Linked DNA regions of Cricetulus griseus. The protein of the gene in region 1 interacts with the protein of each later gene in a pairwise test. Links are inferred from orthologs where the notes say so. Each region holds a gene or a part of one and is shown in the gene's direction. Other genes may lie near its edges.

Evidence for each region.
Region 2: the proteins of Nudt18 (region 1) and Hsd17b14 interact in binary tests that used the Homo sapiens proteins (3 or more experiments, as listed by UniProt). The two-hybrid records come from large-scale screens. The link is inferred for Cricetulus griseus from reciprocal best matches to the Homo sapiens genes NUDT18 and HSD17B14.
Region 3: the proteins of Nudt18 (region 1) and Rab3il1 interact in binary tests that used the Homo sapiens proteins (3 or more experiments, as listed by UniProt). The two-hybrid records come from large-scale screens. The link is inferred for Cricetulus griseus from reciprocal best matches to the Homo sapiens genes NUDT18 and RAB3IL1.
Region 4: the proteins of Nudt18 (region 1) and Evi5l interact in binary tests that used the Homo sapiens proteins (3 or more experiments, as listed by UniProt). The two-hybrid records come from large-scale screens. The link is inferred for Cricetulus griseus from reciprocal best matches to the Homo sapiens genes NUDT18 and EVI5L.
Region 5: the proteins of Nudt18 (region 1) and Rabac1 interact in binary tests that used the Homo sapiens proteins (3 or more experiments, as listed by UniProt). The two-hybrid records come from large-scale screens. The link is inferred for Cricetulus griseus from reciprocal best matches to the Homo sapiens genes NUDT18 and RABAC1.
Region 6: the proteins of Nudt18 (region 1) and Nt5c2 interact in binary tests that used the Homo sapiens proteins (3 or more experiments, as listed by UniProt). The two-hybrid records come from large-scale screens. The link is inferred for Cricetulus griseus from reciprocal best matches to the Homo sapiens genes NUDT18 and NT5C2.
Region 7: the proteins of Nudt18 (region 1) and Paics interact in binary tests that used the Homo sapiens proteins (3 or more experiments, as listed by UniProt). The two-hybrid records come from large-scale screens. The link is inferred for Cricetulus griseus from reciprocal best matches to the Homo sapiens genes NUDT18 and PAICS.

What each region holds. Positions count from the first base shown.
Region 1 is NW_023276807.1:225,221,067-225,225,271, forward strand, and holds the start of Nudt18 (8-oxo-dGDP phosphatase NUDT18), read left to right. Parts: upstream 1-1,405; 5' UTR 1,406-1,542; coding exon 1,543-1,704; intron 1,705-2,526; coding exon 2,527-2,740; intron 2,741-2,947; coding exon 2,948-3,543; 3' UTR 3,544-4,205. UniProt on the Homo sapiens protein: Mediates the hydrolysis of oxidized nucleoside diphosphate derivatives. Hydrolyzes 8-oxo-7,8-dihydroguanine (8-oxo-Gua)-containing deoxyribo- and ribonucleoside diphosphates to the monophosphates. Hydrolyzes 8-oxo-dGDP and 8-oxo-GDP with the same efficiencies.
Region 2 is NC_048599.1:154,472,424-154,475,923, forward strand, and holds part of Hsd17b14 (17-beta-hydroxysteroid dehydrogenase 14), read left to right. Parts: intron 1-2,708; coding exon 2,709-2,776; intron 2,777-2,863; coding exon 2,864-2,960; intron 2,961-3,333; coding exon 3,334-3,500. UniProt on the Homo sapiens protein: Catalyzes the NAD(+)-dependent oxidation of L-fucose, yielding L-fucono-1,5-lactone, which rapidly converts spontaneously to L-fucone-1,4-lactone. Can also act on D-arabinose and L-galactose, with lower catalytic efficiency. Does not use NADPH.
Region 3 is NC_048596.1:50,432,918-50,437,215, reverse strand, and holds the start of Rab3il1 (guanine nucleotide exchange factor for Rab-3A), read left to right. Parts: upstream 1-1,498; 5' UTR 1,499-1,631; coding exon 1,632-1,642; intron 1,643-2,966; exon of another isoform or gene 2,967-3,036; intron 3,037-4,298. UniProt on the Homo sapiens protein: Guanine nucleotide exchange factor (GEF) which may activate RAB3A, a GTPase that regulates synaptic vesicle exocytosis. Promotes the exchange of GDP to GTP, converting inactive GDP-bound Rab proteins into their active GTP-bound form.
Region 4 is NC_048597.1:89,010,935-89,014,434, forward strand, and holds part of Evi5l (EVI5-like protein), read left to right. Parts: intron 1-106; coding exon 107-247; intron 248-1,255; coding exon 1,256-1,384; intron 1,385-3,500. UniProt on the Homo sapiens protein: Functions as a GTPase-activating protein (GAP) with a broad specificity.
Region 5 is NC_048602.1:9,714,295-9,718,385, reverse strand, and holds the start of Rabac1 (prenylated Rab acceptor protein 1), read left to right. Parts: upstream 1-1,291; 5' UTR 1,292-1,409; coding exon 1,410-1,465; intron 1,466-1,637; coding exon 1,638-1,850; intron 1,851-2,089; coding exon 2,090-2,187; intron 2,188-4,091. UniProt on the Homo sapiens protein: General Rab protein regulator required for vesicle formation from the Golgi complex. May control vesicle docking and fusion by mediating the action of Rab GTPases to the SNARE complexes.
Region 6 is NC_048596.1:14,664,244-14,667,030, forward strand, and holds the end of Nt5c2 (cytosolic purine 5'-nucleotidase), read left to right. Parts: intron 1-907; coding exon 908-959; intron 960-1,061; coding exon 1,062-1,122; intron 1,123-1,264; coding exon 1,265-1,441; intron 1,442-2,053; coding exon 2,054-2,287; downstream 2,288-2,787. UniProt on the Homo sapiens protein: Broad specificity cytosolic 5'-nucleotidase that catalyzes the dephosphorylation of 6-hydroxypurine nucleoside 5'-monophosphates.
Region 7 is NW_023276807.1:143,382,218-143,386,043, forward strand, and holds the end of Paics (multifunctional protein ADE2), read left to right. Parts: intron 1-322; coding exon 323-587; intron 588-824; exon of another isoform or gene 825-2,117; coding exon 2,118-2,276; exon of another isoform or gene 2,277-2,300; intron 2,301-2,554; coding exon 2,555-2,721; 3' UTR 2,722-3,326; downstream 3,327-3,826. UniProt on the Homo sapiens protein: Bifunctional phosphoribosylaminoimidazole carboxylase and phosphoribosylaminoimidazole succinocarboxamide synthetase catalyzing two reactions of the de novo purine biosynthetic pathway.

The sequences.
Region 1 (4,205 bases):
CCAGGGAGTTTGGATCAGCATCAGGGAGAATGGCTAGATGACCTGTCCTATGGGACTGAGATACTGGGAGTGAAGTCCAAGGAGCATAGAAGCTTTTTTGTTTGCTTTGTGGTGCTGAGGAATGAGCCCAGGGCCTTATGTATGCTGAGCTATACTCCCCAGTTTCACAGGGGCTCTATGGGCTGGCCTTTGTGTAGCACCAAGTGCTGTGGCTTTGCTGTTCTAACTGGAGAATAGGTGGGCTGCCTGGTGACTGCTGAGATAGTCCACACAGCTCCTCCCAGGCCATGCTGACCTCTCAACAACCAGGGGGGAGGGTTGCTATAGACCTACTTTACAGATGAGGAAATTGAGACCAGGGCACAGAAAGAGCCAGCCAGCAGTGGCTGGGTGTCTGGCTTAAACTCCAGAGCTTTGTCAGCACCACCAAGCCACTGTCCCCCAAAGAAGGCACACAGAGCCAGCAGGAGGGAGGAGGAAAGGGACAGCTAGGATGGGGTGAGGAGCCCAGACTTGGCCTGCTCTGTGGATTCCTCCCAGCTGGCCCTGCCTTCCTGTCCTGAGCCGAGGTTAAAGAAGCTCTTCGGAGGAAAGGTCAGCCTGGGAGAGAAGCAAGAGCTGGCCAAAACAACCCACACCCTGTTCCCCATGGCCAGGCCCTGCATGCTGGGTAGGAGGGCACCACCCCTGCCCTCTAAGGATGCAATCTGCTGCAGAAGCCTTGAAACCGCATGGCAAATGCATTGAGCAGGGGGGATTTGGTGGGGGCTGCATCGAGGTCTCCAAGCTCCTTTTCTTCCTCCTCCCACATTCCTTTCCTTCACCCCCAGTCTTGTCCCACCTTGACCATACCAGTCCTGTCCCATCTCTCCTCTGAGCCTCATCAATCACTTCGTTTGCCCAAACCAATCCTGCAGCTGCCTTTTTAAATGCCTGGGTCCATCAATCTATACAGATCAGAATGTCCCAGGCAACGTTATGTGCCCCAGCCACATGACGTTCAGAAAATGTTAACGAAGTCAGAAAGTTATTTAGGGCCTGTTCGTCTTGAGCACTTCTCTAGTTTGTTTATGATAAACCTGGACAGTGGGAGCTAACTGCGGAGCCTAGGCTTCCGTAATGTCATCAGAGAGTGACGCCACCGACCCTGGTCGCGGTGGTGTTCAGCACCCTACAGGCAGGATGACATCACCGTCGGAACCCGCGCGGACAAGTGCCTGCTGGGTGAATTAGCAAAGAGCTGGGGAGAGTGAGGAGTGAGCGATCAGCGACTGAAACCCGGGAGAGGTGGGGGGAGGGGGCAGAGGGCGTGTCCCCGGAGCCCCGCCCCCACGGTAACTGCTGCCAGCTGACCAATCTGGGCAGGCCGTGGTGACGCGCAGCCTATCAGCAGCCCGGTCTCTCCTGGAGGTTCCGCGTTAGCCTTGGCCCCCAAGGCAGGGGAGGGGGCGAGGGGCTCAGCGGTTCGTCGCAGCTTCGGTCCCCGCCGCCTGCCTCCTAGGGGTCTGGCGAGTCCTGGCTTGCCAGCTCCCTGGAGACTTGATGGCCTCGGAAGGCCTGACGGGGGCGCTGGCCACCGTGCTGGGGGGCAAGGGGTTGCTGGTGCAGAGCTGTGACTCGGAGCCGGCTGGCAAGCCGCTGTCGCCCGTGCGGCTGCGGAAGAATGTCTGCTACGTGGTGCTGGCGGTGTTCCTCAACGAGCAGGTGAGCGTCCGGCCGCCGGCCTTCAGCTGGTCTCGGGAGCGCGCCGCCAGCCCTGGTAGGAACAGGAGAGCCAACGGCCGCTGCCTGTACGTGGCGCTTCCCAATGTTGCAAAGCACTCTCTCTCACACTAGCCGCTGAGCTGAGATCGTCCTTATAGATTATATATAATACAGAGGGAGAAGCCGAGGCCCCCAGGCGGTTTGTCTCATCCACTAGACCTCGCCTCCGCTAGCAGAGGCCTGCAGTATACCTCCTTCCTTCAGGAGTCTGGCACGGTGCCTGGCTTCCTGAAGGATTTCCTAGACCCTCCCGGTCCCACGGATAGTTATGGGGAGCTTACACGCAGGCCTCCGATCCGACCCTCTGGGAGTTTTTGTTTGCGATCATCTCTGTACAAGTCAATGTAAAAACATCCTGGCCAAGTAGGGATAGGTGGTATGGGGGCAGAGCTGAGTTTCAAAGCTCAGACCCTAGAGAGTGGGGACCGGATACAAGCTGTTTGTAAAACCTATGGGGAACAAGAGAGCAGCAACACAGTGGCATAGGTATGAGTCGGTTTTAAAGTGGTGGCTACCTTCAGCATAGGGCCTCTTTGGAGCAACGCCCAGGGACCTCAGTCCTTTCCTACAACACAAATGCCTCTGAATCCAAAGTTGGGTTACAGCTAAGAGGCGGCAGCCATAGCGCTCAACCACACCAGGCTCCCGACGACCCAGAATCCTGAAGGGAGCTTTGGGCCAACATCCATCCAGCTAAGGGCTGCTCTTCTGAAGCCCCCAGACTGGCGGCATAAGGTGAAGATTGCCTTGCTTCTCTCTCAGGATGAGGTGCTGATGATCCAGGAGGCCAAGAAAGAGTGCCGGGGAGCATGGTACCTCCCTGCAGGGAGAATGGAATCTGGGGAGACCATCGTGGAGGCGATGCAGCGGGAGGTGAAGGAGGAGACTGGGCTGCTCTGTGAACCAGTGACACTGCTGTCTGTGGAGGAGAGGGGTGCCTGCTGGATCCGTTTTGTATTCCTTGCTCGACCCACAGGTACAACTCACCTGGTGGCATTCTAGCACTTTCTTAGTTTGTTCTCCTTAGCTAGCCATGCTGTGGCTTCTGCAAATTGCCACTGACCTATTACAGGCTAAGAGCTTGGGCGGGGAGTCTCCCCCTGGAACGCTTGGGTGGCCATTTACTCTCTCAGCTCAACATTTCTCATACTGGCCCTCTCCTCATCCCCCAAATCTCCCCTAGGTGGAGTTCTCAAGACTTCCAAGGATGCAGATGCTGAGTCCCTCCAGGCTGGCTGGTACCCACGGGTCTCCCTGCCCACTCCGCTTAGAGCCCATGATGTTCTGCACCTGGTAGAGCTGGGTGCCAAATTCTGCCAACAAGCCATGCACCCTCTCATTCTGCCTCAAGAGCTTCCCTGCAGTGTGGTCTGCCAGCGGCTGGTGGCCGCCTTTACAACAGTCCAGTCAGTATGGGTGTTGGCGAGCACAGTGGGGACTCCTCACTTGCCCATCACTGGCTGTGGCTTCGGATCCATGGAGCAAAGGGGTGGCATCAAAGTGGCCACCCTACGGCTACTACAGGAGTGTCTGACTCTGAACAATCTGGCAGTGGAGACCAAGGGGTTGCTCGGACTGCAACACCTCGGCAAAAACCATGTTGACGGTCTCTGCCTGAATGTTCTAGTGATGGTGGCTTTTCGGATCCCAGGAATTGAAGATGAGCCCCCAAAGATTAGGGGTGAGAACTACTTTTGGTGGGAGGTATTAGAGGAAGACTTGCAAAAACAGCTTCTACACAGACTTCAGGAATCTTCTGTCATCCCCCTGAGCAGATAGAGAGGTATCAGCAGAAGCTGAGCATCCACCCGCCCTCTGTAGGCTGGAAAAAGGCTGGTAATCTCATGGCACTGTGTGCAGGGACCCCACATTGAGCCCAAAGGGAGAGTGCCTTGAGTCCAGTGCTCAAAGGTTTCCGTTGTTCTCAGGATACACAGTGCTTCTCTCAAAACAGTGAGAAGCTTTTTGAACCCCAAACGGCATCATCCTATTTCTTGGTCCACTTTGGTAAATGTTGATCCATCCAAGTTCTTAGGACTGTGGAGGGGATAGGACATGGGGGACTCATCCCTCAGGGCAGAGTCATTGCTGAGTAAAAAAGTGTTATTTAACTTGCCTTCTTGCCTAAATGTCTGTGTGAAGATGTGGGGCCACTGTCCCATCTACAGCCACCCAAGTCTTTCCTCATGATGCACAACACACACCGATGTGATGCAGGGGTGTAGGGCTCCCAGAGTAGGCAACACTGTTCACTGAAGTCTCAACCCACCCAGGCTCTCTTTAGCTTTTCTGTCCTGCCCGGGGTGGGTGTGGGACTTTGAAGTGACCACACCCCTAATAAAAACACAGCTCAGACCTGTCCAGGTGTTGGAACAGTTTGGTCTGGTGAAATTGTATGTGGGACAATAAAGAGCTGAGAATGACACCTTGGCCTCTCAGCC
Region 2 (3,500 bases), on another chromosome or scaffold:
CTCTGGAGACCAGGCTGGCCTCGAACTCATAGATATCCGCCTGCCTCTGCCTTCCGAGTGCTGGGACTAAAGGCATGCACCACCAACACCTGGCCACTTGTTATTTTTTTTAAAGAGTAATTTTTGGTGTGCTAGACAGATGGTTCAGCAGTTAAGAGTGCTTGCTGCTTTTCAAGAGGACCAGAATTTGGTTCCAAACACCCACACTTGAAGGTTCGGAGCTGTAACTTCAGCCCCAAGGCATCCAGTGACCTCTTCTGACCTCCAAGAGCACTTGCATATCCATGGCCTCATGCGCGCGCGCGCACACACACACACACACACACACACACACACACACACACACGTATACATTTAAAAGGTAATGTTTATACTTCTTGAACAATTTCATACATACATACAATCTATCTTCATCACCATACTCACCCCACCTCCCCTCTCCCAATTGCCTGACATCCTCTTTCTTTTCTCTCTCCTCCATCTCTAACCCCTTCCTTCCTTCCTTCCTTCCTTCCTTCCTTCCTTCCTTCTTTCCCTCCTTCCTTCCTTTCTTTCTTCCCCTCATTTTTAAATGACCCACTGAGTGCATCCACCTACCAGTGGACAATCTACCAGTGACCACACCCTCATCCTCAGTAGCCTTCAGTTGCCAATATTCTTCAGTAAGGTTCGGGTCCTTATGAGCCCCCCCAATCCATGCTTCAATGCTAACAACTGCTTCACTTGTGTGAGTCTTCTGCAGGTAAGTTGCAGTCAGTTCATGATATCAAGGGCCATGGAATGACCAGAAGACAGCATTTTACAGGACTGCTCTCTGCCCCCCAGATCTTACTCATTCATGTTGTCCCCTGAGCCATAGCATGGGGTTGCTGTGTAGCTGTCTCAGCTAGGGCTGAGCACTCAGCAGTCACTGATTCTCAGCACATCAGTCTCTGCATTAACTATCCACACTGCAAACAGGGGCTTCTCACTGGGCATGGCAGAGCTCACGCTCAATCCAGCACTCAGGAGGCAGCAGCATGTAGTGAGTCTTTCTCTGTCTGGCCAGCCAGCTCCCAAATAATGACACGGAGACTTCTTTTAATTATGAGAGCTTGGCTTTCACCTAAGCTTGTTTTTAACTAGCTCTTATAACTTGAATTAACCCATTTCCACATTCTGTCACTTACTGCCCATCTTGCTTCTCCTGTGTCTCCTGGCATCTCTTGTGCACCTATTCTCATCTCCTACTTCCTCTCTCTCTCTGCCTGGAAGTCCTACCTAGACCTCCTGCCTAGCTATTGGTCCTTCAGTTCTTTACTAAACCAATCACAGCAATACACATTTCACACAGTGTGTAATATCCCACAATATTTCCCCCTTTCGTCTAAATAAAAAGGAAAGGTTTTAACCCTAACATAGTAAAAACTATATACAATAAGAACAACTATCAAATAAGAATTACATTCACAATGTTTAGTCCATTTGTATTTGGCAAATTTGGAAAAAAAATACTGTATTATCTATCTTAGTGGGTCCAAACTTTTATGCTAAAACCATTTTCTGTCATAATTTGTATTACTATCCTAAAATATCTTTTCACATCTAAAAACATCTTCTTAAATAAACAACTTAAACTTTTTTGTCTCTCAATTATATAAACTTTATTTCCCTACCTATTGGCTGTTCAGCTCTATTAAACCAGTCACAGCAATACACCTTCACACAGTGTACAAATAACCCACAACAGAAGCAGGCAGATCTCTGCGAGTTGGAGGCCAGCCTAGTCTACAATAGACTATAGTGAAACCCTGCCTCAAACATTCACAACAATAAAGGAGGAAGAGCTTTTCTGACTGAGGCAGAACTGTCGGAGGCCTGAGGCCTGGGACCTCCTGAACCATGGACTTCTGACCAGGTTTACAGTATTAGGCATGAATTCTCTCCTGTAGAACTGTCTTCTTATATAAACAGAAAGCAGATACCCCCATAACATTGATGCACTATTGCACCTGCCTGGCAGGTCAGTATTGCAGCGTACAAGGTTCACTTGTAGATAAATCTATTGATGACTTATCTCTCCCAGTGACCTGAATAACATTTTCTGTGACCATGGAACTTATCCAGCAAGGAGGAAGGTTTCAGGCCAGTTCTAGCTTGATTTCTCTGTATCCTGCATCCAAAGTATGTTGTATCTTCAGCAGTAAGGTCACTAAAAACATGTAATATTATTTATCTTTAAGTGTAGGGGTGTTTTGCCTGCATGTAGGTATATGCATGGGTATCTTTCTGATCCATGTTGAGTTTAGGTCAGAGGACAACATAGAGCAGTTAGCTCTCCTCCACTGTGTGTGTCCCAGGGATCGAACTCAGGTTGTCAGCCAGTGTCTTTATTGCTGAGCCCTCTTGCAAGGCCCCTCTTGTTTTTGTCTAAGCCACAGTCTCACCCTGAAGCCTGGGTTGGTATTGAATTCATGGCAATCCAACTGTCTCAGTCTCCCAAGTTCCCATAGGTGTCAAAACCCAGGAATGTCCCACACTACCTCCCTCATTTAGTCCCAAGTTACAGCAACCTGTAACAAATTGGCCTGCACAGAGCCCATGCACAGGGAATGTCTGCAAGAGGGCTGAGACTAATCTCACTGATGCTAAAGCTCCCGACCCCCCAAGAAGAGTTTGGGAAGGACTCCATCCTCAGACCCAACCCTCCCTGGTCTCTGCCTCTGCAGGGTGCAGTAACAGCTATGACAAAAGCTTTGGCCTTGGATGAGAGCCGATATGGTGTCCGTGTCAACTGGTGAGCGGATCAGAGAAGCTGGGGGCAGTTGGGGTTGCCAAGACAGAAGTAGCATATGCTTCTCCCATCCCTTCTCCCCTTACCTAGCATCTCCCCAGGGAACATCTGGACTCCACTGTGGGAAGAGCTGGCAGCCTCAACTTCAGACCCCAGTGCCACCATCCTAGAAGGCACCCTAGCCCAGGTAGGCATGGTTAGGAGCTGGGAGGGACGGAGTTAGCTGGGGGTAGAGTGTGGATCAGGTCAGGGTCTTTCTTCTCTCCTCTCCTCCTCTTCAGAGCTTCATATAATCCAGACTGGCTTGGACCTTGATATGTACCTGGGGACATCCTCGAACTTCTGATTTTCTTGCTTCCATTTCCTGAGTGCCGGAGTCACAAGCATGTGCCATTCTTTGTGTGTGTTCACGGGCATGCACTTGTGTGAACTCTCTAGCCCAGGCTGGTCTTGAACCCAGGGCAAACCTCTTGCCTAGACCTCTCTTGCTGAGATGACAAATGTGAACCAACATACCTAAGAGGGCTACTCTTAATTTTCTTTCTCCCTTCTCTCCCCAGCCCCTGGGCCGCATGGGCCAGCCAGCTGAGGTGGGGGCTGCAGCAGTGTTCCTGGCCTCTGAAGCCACCTTCTGTACAGGGCTTGAGCTTCTTGTGACAGGGGGTGCAGAACTGGGGTATGGATGCAAGGCTAGTAGGAGCAGTCTTGTAGAAGCCCCCATTCTCCC
Region 3 (4,298 bases), on another chromosome or scaffold:
GGCTTAGGGTCCCCCAGACCTGGAGTCAGAGGAGGTCATCAATTGCCTAATGTGGGTACTGGGAACCAAACTTGGGTCCTCTGCAAAAGCAATGCATGCCCTTACTGGCTGAGTCACCTCTCCAGCCTAAACTTGTTTTTGTTTTGAAAGGTGACACTGTGTTGGTGAAGATGGGTCCTAGGCAAGTTGAGGCTCTGGCAGTAGAGGCCCTTGAAAGCAGGTCTCTCACCTATGATCCACCATACTGGATTCCATAAGTCAAGCATGGTGGTACATACCTGTGGTCACAGCCACTGAGGAAGTTGAGGGAGGATCATTGCAGTCCAGAAGCTGGAGATCAGCCTAGGTAATATATGACTCACACCCACTGAGAAGAGGGGATTAAGGGAGAGGGAGAGGAGGAGGGAGGGAGGGGTTCCAGCCTAGAGGGTCTCCTGCTATTGCATGGTCCTTAGATAGCTCAGAAGGGGCAGCAGAATGTCTCTTTGTGTGGATGGATGAATTGAGATTGTGTTCTCTCTCAGAAGCCCAGAGAGTTCTGTAGACCCAGCCTGTGGGAGCTGGTCCTAGCAGCACTACAGGAGGGATTGGCTATGGGCTCTACTCATTGTATCCATCATGAACAGAGGCTAAACCTCATTCAGGGTAGTGATCAGGGCCAGGATAAAGGCAGGCCAGAGAAACTGAGGGACAGGTGACCAGTGGCCAGGTATTCGTTTTTTACAGATCTGCTTTTATTTATTTATTTATTTATTTATTTATTGGTTTTTCGAGACAGGCTTTGTCTGTGTAGCTTTGGAGCCTATCCTGGCACTCGCTCTGTAGACCAGGCTGGCCTTGAACTCATAGAGATCCGCCTGCCTCTGCCTCCGGAGTGCTGAGATTAAAGGCGTGCGCCACCAATGCCCGGCTCAGCTCTGTTTTTAAATACCTGGGATTGACAGGTGTTTGTGAGGTTGGAGGAGAGCTAGCTGGAAAGACTGGGATGAACAATGTTCAGAGGTACATGGGGAGGGCCCTGGAAAACAGAATTGGTAAGTTGAGCCAAAGTAGTGCTCTCTTGGGTTAACTCTTCAACGAATGGGACTAGTTTGGGGTCTCCCCCACTCCATTCCCAGAAGTCCAGGGACTGATGCAGAGCTCTGAGCTTCAGAGTCTGGTAACACGGCTAGAAGTCTGAGTGTGTAGGAGGTGTCTGGCCGCTTGGAGTGACAATCTGCGGGAGAATCATAGCTGAGACCCTCGGGAGCCATTGTAGGTTCTCAAGCAAGGGTGGTCCAGAAGTGAGAGGCACAGAGTGAGTGGGAAAGGCCAAGGCCAACTCTGACTGAGAGATGACGGGCCAGTTCTGCCCTCACTCAGCGGGATCACCGTCCCCACGCAGTTAGAGGGACAGGGCTGGGCTGGAAGAGGGGCGGGGCCGGGCACGTGGCCTGGGGCCGCCTCTCGGGCACGTGACCCGCCCAGGGCAGGGGAAGGGCTGGGGTGGGGCGGAGCCGCGAACCTTGGCGGCCAGCGGGACAGACCGGCGGGGGAGCGATTGACAGGCTGCAGGGCAGCTCTGGTGCCCGGGCAGAGTTGGCTGTGCGCGTGGACGCGGCTGCGGCAACGCAGAGAGCGGGGGCGCCGGGATGTGGAGCGGGTAGGTCCCCGCATGCCAGTGGCGCTGCGCTCGGTCTGGGCCGCGCTGGCCGCCTAGGGTGGGAGAACAGGGGGCACTGCTGTTGTTTGCACCCCACTTGGGAGATGATCTGTACTCCCAGCCCTGCCTGCAGCGGAGGGGTGTATTGTACTGTGAGGACACGCTGCTGCCCGAGCGCTGAAAGGATCCTGACGGGACCGATTTTAGTTGCCCCAGGGTGGGAAGGTGACAGGGCCAACTCCTCCTAGCTCCAATGGAGCGCATGAGAGAAGTGGGGGGTGGGGTGAGGAATAAGTGGTAGTATGTATATCCCAAAGTAAATCTGGGGCACGCATTTGAAGGAGGGAACACCCATGAACTCTGGGAAAGCAGTGCAATTGAGAAAGCTAGCTGTGTCTCTCCAAGGTCCCTGGTCAGTTCACTGAAACCTTCAGATTTGGGATGGGTTTGTGCTGACCCGCAGAATGGAGCGGAACAGCACAGATCCTGAGACTTGGGTGAGCCCTCTCCACATCCTTCATCCCCATTCACATCTGTTAGGGCCATTGGTCCTTAAGGCTGATAACTGTTCGTGGTCAGTCTAATAGGAGATCCTGCCCCGTGTTCACAAGGCTGATGGCCTTTCTTGAATGTAGGCAAATACCTTCTCCCTCCCCTGGAAAGACTAGGTCTTGGGGTGGGGGTGGGAGCTGTTCCTACTAAGAACTGTCCCAGGATAAGAAGAAGGACAAAGGGGCCCCTGGGGAGGGGAACAGGTGAGATCTATTTACTCTTATGGGCCCCAACTGAGCTTGACCTGAAGGGCTAGGAAAGAAATGGGACTTCCACTCCAGCCAGGATACCAAACCCAGCTCATGTGAGGTGTGGACAGGCTTGGATCTTTTAGAGGGAGCAGAAGCCAGCCTGTGTGTGTTGGAATTTCACTCCAGGAAGAGAGACTAGCTAGGCTTGGAAAGTGTTTGGGGTGAGTTCTTGGTGCCTGCAGAGGTTGAGGCAATCCTGCTTGAGGATGCATTTGTTTGATTTGTCCAGGGCTGTGTGTTTGAGGAGCAGCCTGGTCTGAAGGAAGTTGTGAGCCTTTATGCTGGGTGGGCTGAGGCAATTGCTGTAAGACCCGAAGGGTGCAGGTCCCCTCCTCTGGGCTGGGGCGAGCTGTAGCTCTCTCTCTCTCTCTGTGTGTGTGTGTGTGTGTGTGTGTGTGTGTGTGTGTGTGTGTGTGTGTACACGTACATGGGGGTCAGAGGGGATGCCATGTGTCTTGTCTCTCTCCACTGTATTCCCTTGAGTTAGGAGTCTCTCACTGAACCTGGAACTTGTTTTTCAGCTACGCTGGTGGCTAGTATACCCTGGAGATTCTTATGGTGCTGTGTCCCCTCACGGTGCTGAGCTTGCAGGTACATATGGCCATCTGGGAACTGAACCCAGGTCCTCATGCTAATGCAGCAAGCAAATCCAGGGTTTCTAGGGCTTAGCTTCCTGCTGTAAGATGAACCAAGCTATCACTCTTGGGTATTTGTTAATGGCAGGGTCCTAAATGGGGATGAACAGACGTGACTGGACTCTGTAGGAGCCAGGAGTAGAGATCCTTCTTAGGATTCCAGAGCATAAGCCTCAGGTGGCATAGGTTGGCCTCAAATTCCCTGTATAGTCAAGGATGGCCACCTCTCTCCATTTCCCAAGGACTGGGATTCAGGCATGCGACACAAGGTCTGGTTTATGCAGTGCTGGGCTTGGAATCTCAAGCTTTGTGTGTGCTGGGCTCCACTAACTGAGCTGTAGCTCCAGCCTCAGTCTCACTTTGTGTTGCTTTGTTTTTGGATGCAGGTTCTTGCCACCTATGTGACCCAGAACTGACCCAGAATTCTTTTAGATAAAATTTTATTAGTATGCAGGGTGTGTGTGTGTAAAATGTCACCACATATATGTTGAGGTCACAGAACAACTTTATGACGTTGGTACTCTCCTACTTTTACATGGGCTCTAGGAAATGAACTAAGGCCCCATACTTAAATAGCAAGCCCCCTTCCTCATTTAGCCATCTCACTGGCCCTGGCCTAGAATTCTTGATCCTTTTGCCTTAGCCTCCTTGGTGCTGCACTGCTATGCCTACTGTCTAACTCACTTTAAGGGACTGATCCTCCACCCCCCCACCCACCCTATAATGGGCTTCTCCATTTCCTGTAGCTTCATAGGCCTGTGGTCTTGGGGGCCAAGCCTACTCTAGATGATGAAGTGAGGATGATACTTTGAAATTTCTGCACCTAACACAGTCCTGGACACTTTACGTTTGTTCATCAGAGTCCAGAGTCTGGGTTTAGTAGCACTGAGCAGCCATATAACATTGGTGTGACCCTCTGGTGTCAGATTCCCACTCACTGGATGGGACTAATTAGACCCATCTCTAGGGAGGACTACTGATGGACTGCTGAGAAAAAAAGTTGGCCCAGCCTTCTAGGTGTCAAGAGCCATGCCTTTGCCCCAGGCCAGTGACTAGGGAGTTCCAGAATTGCAGGTCTCTAGGCTCTGAAATCTTGCTTTGTTTTGTTTTGGGATAGGGTTTCTCTGTGTAGCTTTGGAGCCTGTCCTTGAACTTACTCTGTAAACCAGGCTGGTCTTGAACTCACAGAGATCCGCCTACCTCTGCCCCAAAGTGCTG
Region 4 (3,500 bases), on another chromosome or scaffold:
TCACTCTACCCCTCTTCTCATCCTCTCTGAGCCTCCCAGAGGCCAGGCCTGGGACCAAAGCAGATAGTCACGGCACCCTTTCCACCCCCATCCTCACTGTGCTCAGGGGCAGGTGACACGGGCACAGGAGGCTGAGGAGAACTATGTCATCAAACGGGAGCTGGCAGTGGTGAGACAACAGTGTAGCTCAACTGCAGAGGACCTTCAGAAGGCACAGAGCACCATTCGGCAGCTGCAGGAACAGCAGGTACCAGGCGTGTGGGTGGGGTTGACTGGAAGGACCACACCTCCCATAGGTCTTTGTGTCACCCCTACCTTCTGGCCCTTGGGGACTAAATCTATAATGTGGATAGGGGTATCCAGAGGCTAGTGTGGATTTGCTTCCCCTCACAGCTAACCACCCCTAGACTCCACAGGACAGCCTAAGATTACTATTTCCCACCCTGAGGTGGATTTGCCTTATCTTGACACTAGGCAGTAGAGTTCCTCTGAGAAACAGAGCCTCTGAATCCTGCTATGGGGCTATGAAAAGGATGATCAGGTCCAGAGCTGTTGTCCTCAGGCTCAAGAGGAGCACTGAAAGGAGGAGGTCTCCCAGAAGAGGGACACCTCAGAAGGCCTGGAGTCTGTCTTGACCAGGAAGAGATGCTAGCACAAAGAATCAGAGTTCCTAACAGGACAGAGGTCAGGGAATAGGGGCTGTGGCTGGAGAAGGGTGTGCCTGCCAAGACCAGATTGGGCACCAAATTGGGGTGGTCCCCTAGAGGAATTCCCTGCCAGACCACCAGAACAGAAAGAGAGGGTCTTGGTTTCCACCCAGAAGCTCAAAGGGAACTTCCTTCCTTCCCATTCTTCCCTGTCTTGAAGTGGGGCCTGAGGGGGACAGGTAGAAAGGTCCCAACCCTGCCCGTGGTCCCTGACCATGCCCATGTGTATGATTCCACAACTGGCCACACTGCAGGAGCACATGCCCTACCCACAGCCTGTGGTCCTGGGACTGAGTCTCGGAGGCTCTCAGAAGGCAGCCCAAAGTCATGGAAAGTTCCATTCCCAACATTCCTTCTGTGTGGCTTTCCCTGGAAAGTAGCCAAGTCAGGTCCATTGCCTCCAAGTGCCATGAACAGAGAATGGATTCAAGCCAGGATGCCTAAAAACTGAGACCCTCTTCCAGCCCAGGCCCTCTTGCCCACTAGCATGGAAGCTGTCCACCATGCAATAGGCTCCACCAGGGACCAATGCTGTCCTTTGTCTTCAGGAAAACCCACGCCTCACAGAGGACTTTGTGGCCCACTTGGAGACAGAGCTGGAGCAGTCACGGTTACGCGAGACAGAGACTTTGGGGGCCCTTCGAGAAATGCAGGACAAGGTTCTGGACATGGAAAAGGTATGGCTGTGAAAAGCGACAAAGGTCTCCAGTGATTTTTTAGAAGCTTCAGCAGCCAGGCATGGCCACATACACCTATTATCCCAGCACTGTGGCGAAGAGATGGGAGGATATCTGGCTAGGTGGTCTTTAGACTATCTCCAGGTTCCATGAGAGATCCTATCCAAAGGGAATAAGGCAAAGTGATAAAGTGATGGGACAGGCCTCTTCGAACATACACACATACACACATGTGCATAACACACATGTGCATAACATACACACACACACACACACACACACACACACACACACACACACAGAAGAGAGAGAGAGAACCAACAAGAGGCAGCCAGGGCGATTGCCCAACCCTCCCTCAGTCAATCAGTTCCCATGGAAGAGGAGACCTCTCCATGCTGCTTTAGAGCCCATTGCCCCTAGGCATTGTCCCCTACACCACCACCATCTCCAAACAGGGATCTAAGGGTACAGAATTTGGAACCCTCATCCCATGCTCATATACACAGCAGCACAGCCCTGCCCTAAGTCTCACCGTCAAATCACAATGTGTGGCAAGCTTCATAAGCTGCCTGAGTATCCCACCACTGCACTGTGCATTGGGGCTGAGGTTGCAGGATGTAGGGAAGGAAAGACTGCCGGGGAGGGGAGGGGATCATTAGCATCTTCTCTCCAGAGGCAAACTAAGGGCCACACTTTCCTGCCTGCAGCCCTGGAAGTGGGCAACCAGACCTGCGTGCCTCTCCAACTGCTTTGTGAGCTGATACAACTCAGGCTAGGATGTACCTCAGTTGATGGAATGCTTGCCTAGCATATATGAAGCCCCAGATTCCATCCCTAGTGCATACCTGTTATCCCAGCTCTGAGGAGATGGAAGAAGATGATCAGCCATTCCAAACGATCCTTGGCTACATAGCAAGTCTGATTTCACCCTGAGTTACCTGAGATCATGTCTAAACAAACAAACAAACAAACAACTACAACAAAACTCTCCTGGGAGCTGCCACAAAGTCCTTGATGTTGAGAAAAAAAAAACCCTTCCCCAATGTCAGCTACTGCTGTGTAAGGGCCAGAAGCCTCAACCCCATCAACACACCTCCTCCACACAAGAGGGAAATGTGCCTGGCCTAGACCCTGTCTTTGGTCCCACATACAGACCTAAACAAGGGTCAGGAAAGACCAGGCCTACCAAGTTATGTCATGATCACCACCACACCTCCAATCATTAGGCCCTCTCCACACTAAGACAGAACAGAGGCTGGTTCCAGACCTGTCTGTTTTGGAAAGAGGCTCCAGGTCTTTCCTCTTTGGCTCTTTTGGGAGGCCTGCCACCCAGCTCCCAAATAAACCACACGGAATCTTACTCTTTCTTATAAATGCCTGGCCTTAGCTTGGCTCATTTCTAGCCAACTTTTCTTAACTTGCCTCTGGACTTTTACCTTTCTTTATTTCTATATATCTTTTTTTTTCCTTCTTGTTCAATATCTTGCTCTGTGACTGGCCCCTTCTTTTCTTGCTTCCTTCATCTCCTTTGCTTCCTGATCCCTCCTTTCTCCTGTTTATTCTCTCTGCCTGCCAGGCCCACCTATCCTTTCTCCTGCCTTGCTATTGGCTGTTCAGCTCTTCATTAGACCAATCAGGTGTTTTATATAGGCAAAGTAACAGTTTCACGGAGTTAGACAAATGCAACATAAAAGAATGCAACACATCTTTGCATCATTACACAAATGTTCCACAGCATAAACGAGTGTAACACATCTTAAGATAATATTCCACAACAAGACCAGACCGGGGTGAGCCCCTGCTGATGTAGTTCTCAGGACTGGTCATGGGTCCTGAAAAGGTTGAATATTGGAGCTAAGAGCAGACCTGCACTCACCCTAGCTGCCCCAGAGTGCATTATGTATTTAACAGTAATATTTAGGGGAGACCACAGTTTAAGGCGGTTTCCCAAGGCAGACTTGAGAGAGAGTAGATGCTGTTTTTGCACCCATTTTGCAGATAATGAACCTTGGCTAGGGTTACACATGAGGGTCCTTTTCCCCTGGGCTTAGTCCCTGATCTCTTGGATGTGCTGTAGACGAGGGTGTCACCATCCCTTCATCATCCTTCATCAGCT
Region 5 (4,091 bases), on another chromosome or scaffold:
GAAGACCAATGTACATAAAATAAAAACAAATCATTTTTAAAAACCAGGTGGTAGTGTCACACACCTTTAACCCAAGCACTAGAGACAGGTGAATCGCTGAGAGTTTGAGACCAGCCTGGTCTACAGAGCGAGTACCAAGGGCTATGTAGAAAGACCCTGTCTGGAAAAAGTAAATAAATAAAACAGATGTTTTAAATGAAAATAAAAAAGAGGGTTTGGAGAGATGACTCAGTAGTTAAGAGTGTGCGTGCTGCTTTTCCAGAGGACTAGAGTTCAGTTCCCAGCCCATGTATTTTGAACAGCTCACAATTGGTGGTAACTTCAGTTCCAGGGGGGGGATGTAATACCCTCTTCTGGGCCTCCTCAGGCACCGTCACCCATGTGGCACACACACATAAACCATTTATTTTTAATTCTTTTTGGTTTTTGGAGACAAGGTTTCTGTGTAGCTTTTGGAGGCTGTCCTGGCACTTGCTCTGTAGACCAGGCTGGCCTCGAACTCACAGAGATCCTCCTGCCTCTGCCTCCCGAGTGCTGGGATTAAAGGCTTGAGTCACCAATGCCCGGCAGAAGCCATTTTTTAGAAAAGATATTTTAAAAGTTATGTGTATCTGTGTAAGTACACGTGAGTATGTTTGATTGACTAGAGCTGGATATATACATATATAATATTTTTAAAAATTTATTTATTATACAGTGTTCTGCCTTCATGTATGCTATATGCCAAAAGAGGGCACCAAATCACATTTGTAGATGGTTGTGAGCCACCATGTGGGTTGCTGGGAATTGAACTCAGGACACCTGGAAGTGGAAGAGCAGCCGGTTCTCACACATCTGAGCCATCTCTCCAGCCCCTATAATTTTTGTTTTGTTTTGTTTTCTAAGGAAAGAGAAAGTTAATGAACTCCACCCCAGACCAGCCCAATCAGAATCAGAATATCTGAGGCTGCGGCCAATGTTTTTATTATTATTATTAATTATTTATTATTATTATTATTATTATTATTATTATTATTATTATTATTATTATTATTATTATTATTATTATGCCGTCTGGAGTCAGGATGATAGCTCCGCACCCTCCACGGAATCCCGCAGCTGCCATGCCAACTCCCGGTAAAAACGCCCCATCCTAAGAGCCCACGCTGCACGCTCTGAAACTACAGTTCCCACAATGCCTAGAGGCCCACGCGGCGCTCTTGGCATACTTCTCCCGAGGTGTCTTGCGAGCCCGACCGACCTCCTGACGCCGCAATGACTACAACTCCCAGAATGCTCGGAGACGCAACTACCGCCCCCTAGAGTGCCAAGCGGCGCCATGTCCTGAGCGTCCGGGCTCGGGCGGGGGCCGGCTGGGTGCGGCGGGGCTCGAGGCTGTCCGCGGCGATCCCACACACCGCAGCGTAGACATGGCGGCCCAGAAGGACCAGCAGAAGGATACGGAGGTGGAGGGGCTGAGCGCCACGTGAGCGAGCAGGGTGTAACCCCCCATACTCCCGAGCGTGGGGTCCCAGGCGTCCCGGCCCCCGGGCTTTGCAGAGGAGATGTCCCCCGGGGGCCGCGATGTGCTGGGATCTGGGGTCCGGGCCCTGGGACCGCTTGCGGCTGACCTGCCCCCGCCCCGCCCCGCCCTCCAGGACCCTGCTGCCCAAGCTGATTCCCTCCGGCGCCGGCCGAGAGTGGCTGGAGCGGCGCCGCGCGACCATCCGGCCCTGGGGCGCTTTCGTGGATCAGCAGCGTTTCTCGCGACCCCGCAACCTGGGCGAGCTTTGCCAGCGCCTGGTACGCAACGTGGAGTATTACCAAAGCAACTACGTGTTCGTGTTTCTGGGCCTCATCCTTTACTGCGTGTGAGTGCCTCGGCAGCCCCGCCCTCCTGCGCCAGGCCCCGCCCCCTGTTGCCAGGCCCCGCCCCCCGCCGGTTAGCTAGGCCCAGGGCCTTGTCACCCGAGCACCCAGGAGTCGGTCTGTATTCCTGAATCCACCCGAGCCGGGATGCAGTCTAGCCACCCCATGTGATGCCCAAGGCTAGAGGGAGCCGGCTCACACAGCCTCAGACGCCTGACTCCTGTCTCCCACACTCTTCCAGGGTGACATCCCCCATGCTGCTGGTGGCTCTGGCTGTCTTCTTTGGCGCCTGTTACATTCTCTATCTGCGCACGTTGCAGTCCAAGCTTGTGCTCTTTGGTGAGAAACCCCCCGCCCAAACGGATCCCCAGGTCCCACAGAACTGCAGACCTCCGAATATTTGGGAATCAAGTCGGTCCCACCGAGAGGTGCACTAGAGTCATTAAACTTAGTCCTTAAGGTCGCAGGTGAATACCCTCCAGTCTCAGCTCCCCAAAACCCAGGGAGAGCCCTAAAACCCCGGCTCCTGTGTCTCCTGTAAAATGAATCAGTCCTTCCCAATCCTCCCCGGGGAGAGCATCCGCTGCAGGTACCCACACTGGACACCAGGTGGCGACCGTGTGCAGGCCTAGGTCTGTCTGCCTTCCCATGCCTTCTGTCCCAGGGCTGAACTGGTAAGATACTAGATATTTCCAGAAGGGGAAACGGAGACCTGTCCGCCCACTGGGAAGAGAAGTGTCAGGGAAGACCCACTGAGAGGAAATCCCAGGTTTGCCAAGGAGACCTGTGACAGTCTTTCAGGTCCCAGACAGGTTACCAGAGGAAGATGGACTAGGGCCGAGCGAGAAGAGCCTGAAGCACAAGAGAACTTGGCCTTGGCAGATAGTAGTCACTAGGGCATACACAATTTCCAGACATAGGAGAGCCTGAAAAAAATTGTTTTGAGATAGGGTCTTCTTACGTAGCCTCGGCCTGCCAGGAGCTCACTCTGTAGACCAGACTGGCCTCCAACTCACAGATTTCCCCTGCCTCTGCCTCCTGAGTGCTGGGATTAAAGGAGTATGCAACCATGCCCTAGCCTTACAAAATTTGTTAAGCACCCAGAAGGCAGGCCCTCTGGGAAAGCAGCAAGTGCTCCTAACTGCTGGGCCGTCTCTCCAGTCCCCACAAACCAGATTCTTGTGAAACACTTCAAAGACAGACAGACGTTCTGGCTCATGCCTGTAATCCCAGCATTTGGGAGGCTGAAACAGGATGATTGCTGTAAATTCAAAACAAGCCTGGGCTTCAGAGTCTTTTAAAAAATCAAAATGAGCCAGGCATTGGTGGCGCACTCTTTTAATCCCAGCACTCGGGAGGCAGAGGCAGGCGATCTCTGTGAGTTCGAGACCAGCCTGGTCTACAGAGCGAGTGCCAGGATAGGCTCCAAAGCCACAGAGAAACCCTGTCTCGAAAAACAAACAAACAAACAAACAAAAATCAAAATGAGAGCTGGGCATGGTGGCACACACCTTTAATCCCAGCATTCGGGGTGAGGCTGGTGGATCTCTGTGAGTTCAAGGTCATCCTGGTCTACAAATCGAGTTCCAGAACAGCCAGTGCTATACAGAGAAACCCTGTCTCAAGTTTTTAAAAAACAAAAAATCAAAATAATGGTTTGGAGAGATGGCTCAGTGGTTAAAATTGAATTCTGTTCTTGAAAGGACCCAGGTTTTGTTCTCAGAACCCAATCCCCATGTCAGGTGACTGTCACAAGGCCACCTGTCACTCCAGCTTCTGGCCTCCATGGGCACCTGAACTCTTGTGCACATATGGCCACACAGGGTACATACACGTAATTCAAAGTAATAAATAAAATTATATAAGTTAAAAATAAGAAGACAAAAACCCTTAGGTCATGGACTGGAGAGATGGCTCCGGGGTTAAGAGCACTGACTGTTCTTCCAGAGGTCCTGAGTTCAATTCCCAGCAACCACATGTTGGCTCACAACCATCTGTAATGGGATCTGATGCCCTTTTCTGGCACGCACTGTATACATGATAAATAAATAAATCTTTAAAAAAAAAAAAAAACCCTCTTAGGTCAGACCTGGCAATGGGGCCACAAGGTTGAGAGTCCTGGTATCCAGGCTGGGACATGAGGCTAGCCTGGTCTGAGAGACAAGTGGCTTGGGAGGTCCTGGGGAGGGGGGGATAGAGAGCAGAGCTGGGGCTGAGGAAGGTGGTTTCATTCTGGTTATGTT
Region 6 (2,787 bases), on another chromosome or scaffold:
ATTCTGGCTCCTCTGCTCAAAGTCTGTATGCACCTTGAGCCTTGTTTCCCCGAGAAAATAGAATAGCGATAATACCTGTCTGCAAGCTGGTGAGTCTCAGGCAAGGCAGTCCACATAAAGAAAGCAGAAACGATGGCTTTCCTTCTCTGTGACAGCACCTGATTTCAATGACTTTCTGCCTGTAAAGATGGTAGAAGAAACCCTCTTCTGTGTAATAGATAAATCAGGGTGTGGTTCTCCTGGGGAACTCAGGAGGCATGTCAATGAAGCTGCCTGTCGCCCTCACAGTTTAAGCTTCCCACCTGTGAAGTTTTAGAAGTCTAGTTGACCTTCAGCTCTGGACCAGTCACCTAATTCCTAGTCCTTTTTTCTAGAAATGGGGCCAGCTAGATGTCTGAGTGGGTAAAGGTGCTTGCTGGTAAACTTCACCTGAGCTCAGTCCCCAAAGTCCACATAGTGAGAACTGACTCATACACACACCCCATGGCACACGCAAGCCCTCCCACCCCCACCACACACACAAACTTCAAACATAAACTTTTTTTTTTTAAAGTCAAACTATCAGTAGTTTCTTTGGTGCCTGCACCCAAGGGAGCAGAAATTAGTGTTTTGGAAGCCCCCACGTGAGCACATGGTTGGAAGGGGGAGTTGTGGTCAATGGCTTTTAGGCAGGAGGAGACCCTTCAAAGGAAATTTTGGTGGTCTTCCGCTGGCAGAGTCCACGTGAGTGTCAGCAAGCTTCCCTGGGGAGACGCAGATCACACACACACTTGACTCTGCCATGTTAGGCAAGGCTGTGCTTTTTGTCATATCTTAGAGTTCACTAATTTGAGCAGCACTTAAAAGCCAGGTACCTTTTCTTGATTTATGTAAAACATTTTCTTTTCCTTTCCAAACTTTTAACTAGCACTTTTTGAAGAACTTCAGAGCTTGGATATTTTCTTGGCTGAACTCTACAAGTAAGTTTCCTAGTTCTAAACCCTACCTACATCTTCAAGAACAACATAGGAATACAATGTGTTCATTTAGAGATTTGTTCTGTGCTTTCCTTCTGTCCCCAGGCACCTTGACAGCAGTAGCAATGAGCGCCCAGACATTAGTTCCATCCAGAGACGGATTAAGGTATCCAGATGGGATTTGGGATAAAATGTGGAAAATCAGTTGTCTAAGTCATTTACATGTTTCTGATTTTATGTAGGAACTTGGATGTTGCTGGTGACCAACAGATAGTTGAATCAGCTGAGAACTTTTTTTTTTTTTCTAGAAAGTAACTCATGACATGGACATGTGCTATGGGATGATGGGAAGCCTCTTCCGCAGTGGCTCCCGGCAGACACTCTTTGCCAGTCAAGTGATGAGGTATGCTGACCTCTACGCAGCGTCTTTCATCAACCTGCTGTACTACCCGTTCAGCTACCTCTTCAGAGCCGCCCATGTCCTGGTGAGTAAAGCTGTTGGGACAGACAGCTAAGATGGACCTTGGGTCACATCTGCACCAGGTTTGTGGAATGACATGGGAGATAGTCTATGTGAAAACTGTGAATGGCTTATGTGGTTAGATAGAAAGACTTTTCTTCCTTTGAGTAGGTGGTGGCTCACACCTAGAATCTCAGCTTTTGGGGGTGGGGGAGCATGGGTAGGAGGATTGGGAGTTCAAGGCCAGCTTCAACCACATGAGACCCTATATTTAAAAAAAAAAAAGCCAGGTGTGGTGTGCACGCCTTTAGTCCCAGTACCTGGCAGGTGGAAGCAAGTGAATCTCTGAGTTAGGACTACATTGAGAGATGCCTTCGTTAGTACTAATTGAAATAAATGTTCTTATATGTGTGTCCCAATACTGTTCTGTTTCAGGACTGGTTTAGGGAGTATAAAAATAGAAAGTACGGTTTTTCTGTTTTACTGGTTTTCATCTGTAGGAAAGGATGCGGGCAGCTTCTGTCCCTGCTGGCAGATTTCACTCATACAGACACTGTAGATAAGACATGTTAGGGTTCAGATCTGGGTGGTACTTATCTTTGTGCTGCCTGTAGCCTGAGCCTTTGCTTTGTTCTAGATGCCTCATGAATCAACAGTGGAGCACACACACGTGGATATCAACGAGATGGAATCCCCTCTCGCCACCCGGAACCGCACATCTGTGGATTTCAAAGACACCGACTACAAGCGGCACCAGCTCACAAGGTCCGTTAGTGAGATTAAGCCGCCCAACCTCTTCCCGCTGGCTCCCCAGGAGATTACACACTGCCATGATGAAGACGACGATGAAGAGGAGGAAGAGGAAGAATAAGGAGGCAAACTAAAACCCTGAGCACCCATCAGCAAGTCTGGCAGGACTCACGGGGCAAGGGTGGCCTTGTTTCGATTCTGTTAGGGAGGGTGGGTGGCCCTCATCAGAAGTACATTTGGAAAGTTTCAGAAGGCTTTAAATAATTCTAATCATAGCTCCTCACTTCAGTTTTGTGTATCTGTATTCTCTGCAGATAGTTCGAAACTGTAGGAAGATGAGGTAAAGTCGGGTGGGACTGCGTGCAGATGGCACCCTGTGGTTGTGATGGTGTCTCCTTGTCTGTCTCCATCATCGGGGTGCCATCTGCACACACTGCGGGTGGGGGAGGGCTGCAGAGCAGAGCCGAGAGCCTGGTGGGAAGAGGTGAGCCACACCACCGAGTTACTGCAGACTGTGCTGTTGCTGCCCCCCCCCCCCATCCAGTGCATCACCCCGTATTTGCACATCCGTGGGGAAATGCACTGGCTTCAGTGTCAGGTGCAGTCAGTCCTCTGGCAGGT
Region 7 (3,826 bases), about 82 Mb from region 1:
AACAGCAAAGGGACAACTGTCCTTGTTTGTCTAATCTTCACAATACCAAGACTAAGGGACGGAAATGGGATTCTACATACCAAGTCTTAATTAAGGCTTTTAACTCAACTACTTGTAATTGCTAAGGAAGAAAGCATTTGACCTGGAATGAAAAGCGAAACTTTGCTGCTGAACTTTTTCATTGAAAAAACATTTCTCCATCAACGGGCATTTTCAGATATATCTCATTATGTAAACTTGTCATAAGCTCTACTTAAAGAAAGGAAGGAAGGGTTTTTAAGCTAGCAAGAGAAAATTATTTTGTAAATTTCTATCTTTCTAGTCTTACCGTGACCTCAAGGAAGTAACTCCGGAAGGACTGCAGATGGTAAAGAAGAACTTTGAGTGGGTTGCAGATCGAGTGGAGTTACTCCTGAAGTCAGATAGTCAGTGCAGGGTTGTAGTGCTGATGGGTTCCACTTCTGACCTTGGTCACTGTGAGAAAATTAAAAAGGCTTGTGGAAACTTCGGGATTCCATGTGAACTTCGAGTAACATCTGCCCATAAAGGACCGGATGAAACTTTGAGGATTAAAGCAGAGTATGAAGGTAAACTTAATAAATAAATGGACAACTTCAGCTATTTCTGATTTGGGTAAAATATTTTAAAGTACATATGTTTTGGATAATAATGTTTTAAAGAGGCTTTCCATATTTCGGAGGAAAGTCATGTGGAATGCCTATACTTTTACACTTATCCCCAGGGATAATGTCTGACATCCTATCCCTCTTTGTGTACCTCATGCATGTGATGCCCATAAACTCATGCAGGCACACATACTTGTAATTTTTTTGAATCTTTAAAAAAAAAAAAAAAAAAAGGCTCATTGATTAAGAGGAGCACTCACAGCCATCTAGCTCCAGTCCAGGGGAATCCATCAACTTCTTCTGGCCTCCAGGAGCACTGCACACCACACCCATGCATAGACATGGAGGCAAAACAGCCATACACATAAAATAGAAGGATGTGTGGTCTCCTTGTCTTATTAACAGTGCCCCTTGAGCACTGTTGCTGGCTTATTCCAAAAGAAAAGAATCCCTTACCCCAACTGTGGGATGCCTAAGGCTAAAGCAGCAGGGCCTCTCTGGTATCTTTGTCAGTTTTCTTGAAAGAAAATAAGAAATAAAGCTATAGTTTCAGGAGTTAATACATTAAGTAAATGATAGGATATCGTTGGTACAAGAAAACTTAACAGAAGTGTAGTTAACAATGGGAGGAGGGCTTCCGGTCCTTTAATAAGCTAATGAAGGCTTGGATTCTTTCTCCAGAAAGGCAGACTAAGTTGTAATAAGAAATTCAGGATTCAGTATCCAGCACCACATAAAACCAGGACCTGTAGTCCTAACAGGTGGGAAGGTCGGGTTTGCTGTAATTCAAGCTGAGCCTGGGCTAGAGTAACACTGTATTAAATATACAAACTTCCTAAACTTTTGAGATATAGAGATGTACTTTTGCTGTTGGTTTTTGATACTGCTAATGATGGGCCTTTCAACTCAAGCATCCTAAGCCCTTTAACTTTGGGTGCTTTTACTACATGTACTCCAGCACCCAAATACTGAATACTGGAAGTAGCCACGAGAATTTTAATCACTATTAAATGAGTCTACTGGCACCCTCTGGAAGGACAACTCATCATAAAAGATAGCTGTTCAGCTGGTGAGGTTCTTCATGCTGCTGAGTCTAAGCAGCAATATCAGAAGGAAGCTGTGAACCAGCCATTTCCTTACCAACTTCAGGACATTCTCTTTATACTGTAGATCTCAAAAATGGCCATTCCTATGCTACTTAGGTTATTATTAACTGTACAGCTAGGTATGCTTTTTCTATAGCAGACTACTAAAGGATTTGAGTTCATTTTGTATTTTACATTTATTTTTATAGTATATGTGGAGGTTAGAGAACAGCTTGCAAGAGTCAATTCTTTGCCACTATATGGGTTCTAGAGGTCAAACAGGTCACCAGACTTGGCAACAGTTCCCCTTACCCACTGAGCCATCTAACATGCCCCCCCCCTTTTTTTGTTCCTGCTGTTATTGTCAACAAAACAAAAGGACCTGGTTATCTTGTAATTTCCCTAGGCGATGGCATACCTACTGTATTTGTCGCAGTGGCTGGCAGAAGCAATGGTTTGGGCCCAGTGATGTCTGGTAATACTGCATATCCGGTTATCAGCTGTCCCCCCATCACACCAGACTGGGGTGCTCAGGATGTGTGGTCATCCCTTCGACTGCCCAGTGGTAAGATCTTGAAAATTTTCAGTACTGGGAGTATACACAAAATTTCAAGATGCAATCTTAATGTCTCTACCAGCCTCATCTTCTAATATTTAATTACACATTTTAGCCACAGCCTACTAATTTTAAATCAGACGTTATATTTTTGAATTATTGTGTATTTTTTGCTTAATATGCATCTCTTAAGAAGTAAAGACTTGGCTTTATTATCATCTTTTGTTTTTTTATTTCTTTTTAAGCTACTAACTCATTTATTTGTCCTTTCTATTCTGAACCAATAGGTCTTGGCTGTTCAACTATACTTTCTCCAGAAGGATCCGCCCAGTTTGCTGCTCAGATATTTGGGTTATACAACCATTTGGTATGGGCCAAACTTCGAGCAAGCATTCTTAACACATGGATATCTTTAAAGCAAGCTGACAAGAAAATCAGAGAATGCAATTTATAAAAAAAAAAAAAAAAAGTAATTTTTAGGAGAAAAGTTACACATTCCTAGTTTGAATTAAAAAGAAAGAATTTAAGCAAAATGATTTCACATCAGAGAAAACAATTCAGTTTACTGTTGAACAAAATGGTCCTCTATATTTTAGGGGTTGACAAGTTGTCAGTGAGTATTTGTTATTAATATTTTCTAGTTCTGAATAATGATGTGTTCCTGTAACCTCAGCACACCAGAGGCTGAGGCAGAAAAACTATGTGTTGAGACCCTGTATTGAAATAAAAAAATCTTTATAGTTAGTAAAAATTAGTATGACACTGTTCAATTATATTATCAATCACTACATGATCCTTGTTGGGCAGTTAATGTAACATTAGCAAAGAAATGTCTTTTATGGAGCTGGAGCTGTCTTTCTGGTTTAAGAACCAATGTGGCTCTCTTGCAGAGGACCAGAGAATTTGGTTCCCATCATCCATGTGGAGTGACTCATAATCACCTGTAACTTCTAATTATTTCTAAATGCTAATAATGATTTTTTTGTAAATCAGTAGCTACTGGTTGGTCTTCTGTGGATCATGATTTGAAAATTAAAATATTTCTGTTTATGCTAATAACTATTCTCACTGCATGGTCTGTATGTTCTAAGTCCTTATCTAAGAAAGTACATAGCTACATGAATCTCCAGCTAAGGTATGTGTTTGTGCTTTGTTGGGTTTGTTTTTATGGTGGTGAGGAAACCCTAGGTCCTTACACTTGGTAGGCAAGCACTACCTCTGAGTTACATCTTTACCCATGTTTGCTTGGGGGGTTTTGTTTTGTTTTTAAAGAAATTGAGAATAGGGGTAGAAGAAACACATAAAGTGGAAGTGATGGAAAGGGCTCCTTCCTGAGGTGTTTGTGTATTAGGACAATTCTTGAAAAAAAGTAGTCTCCTTCCCATTCCAATAAAAGACTACGTAAATTATGGCTTAGCCATTTAACTAGGTTTTATGGTAGGTGCCTCTGTGGGCCATAAACTTTGATTTTCTAGTAAAACATTTTGGACACAACTGCAGTCAAAGGAGTGAGTGGATGTAGTGGCTAGTTGTTGGTTTTGCTAGTGAATAGCTGGACA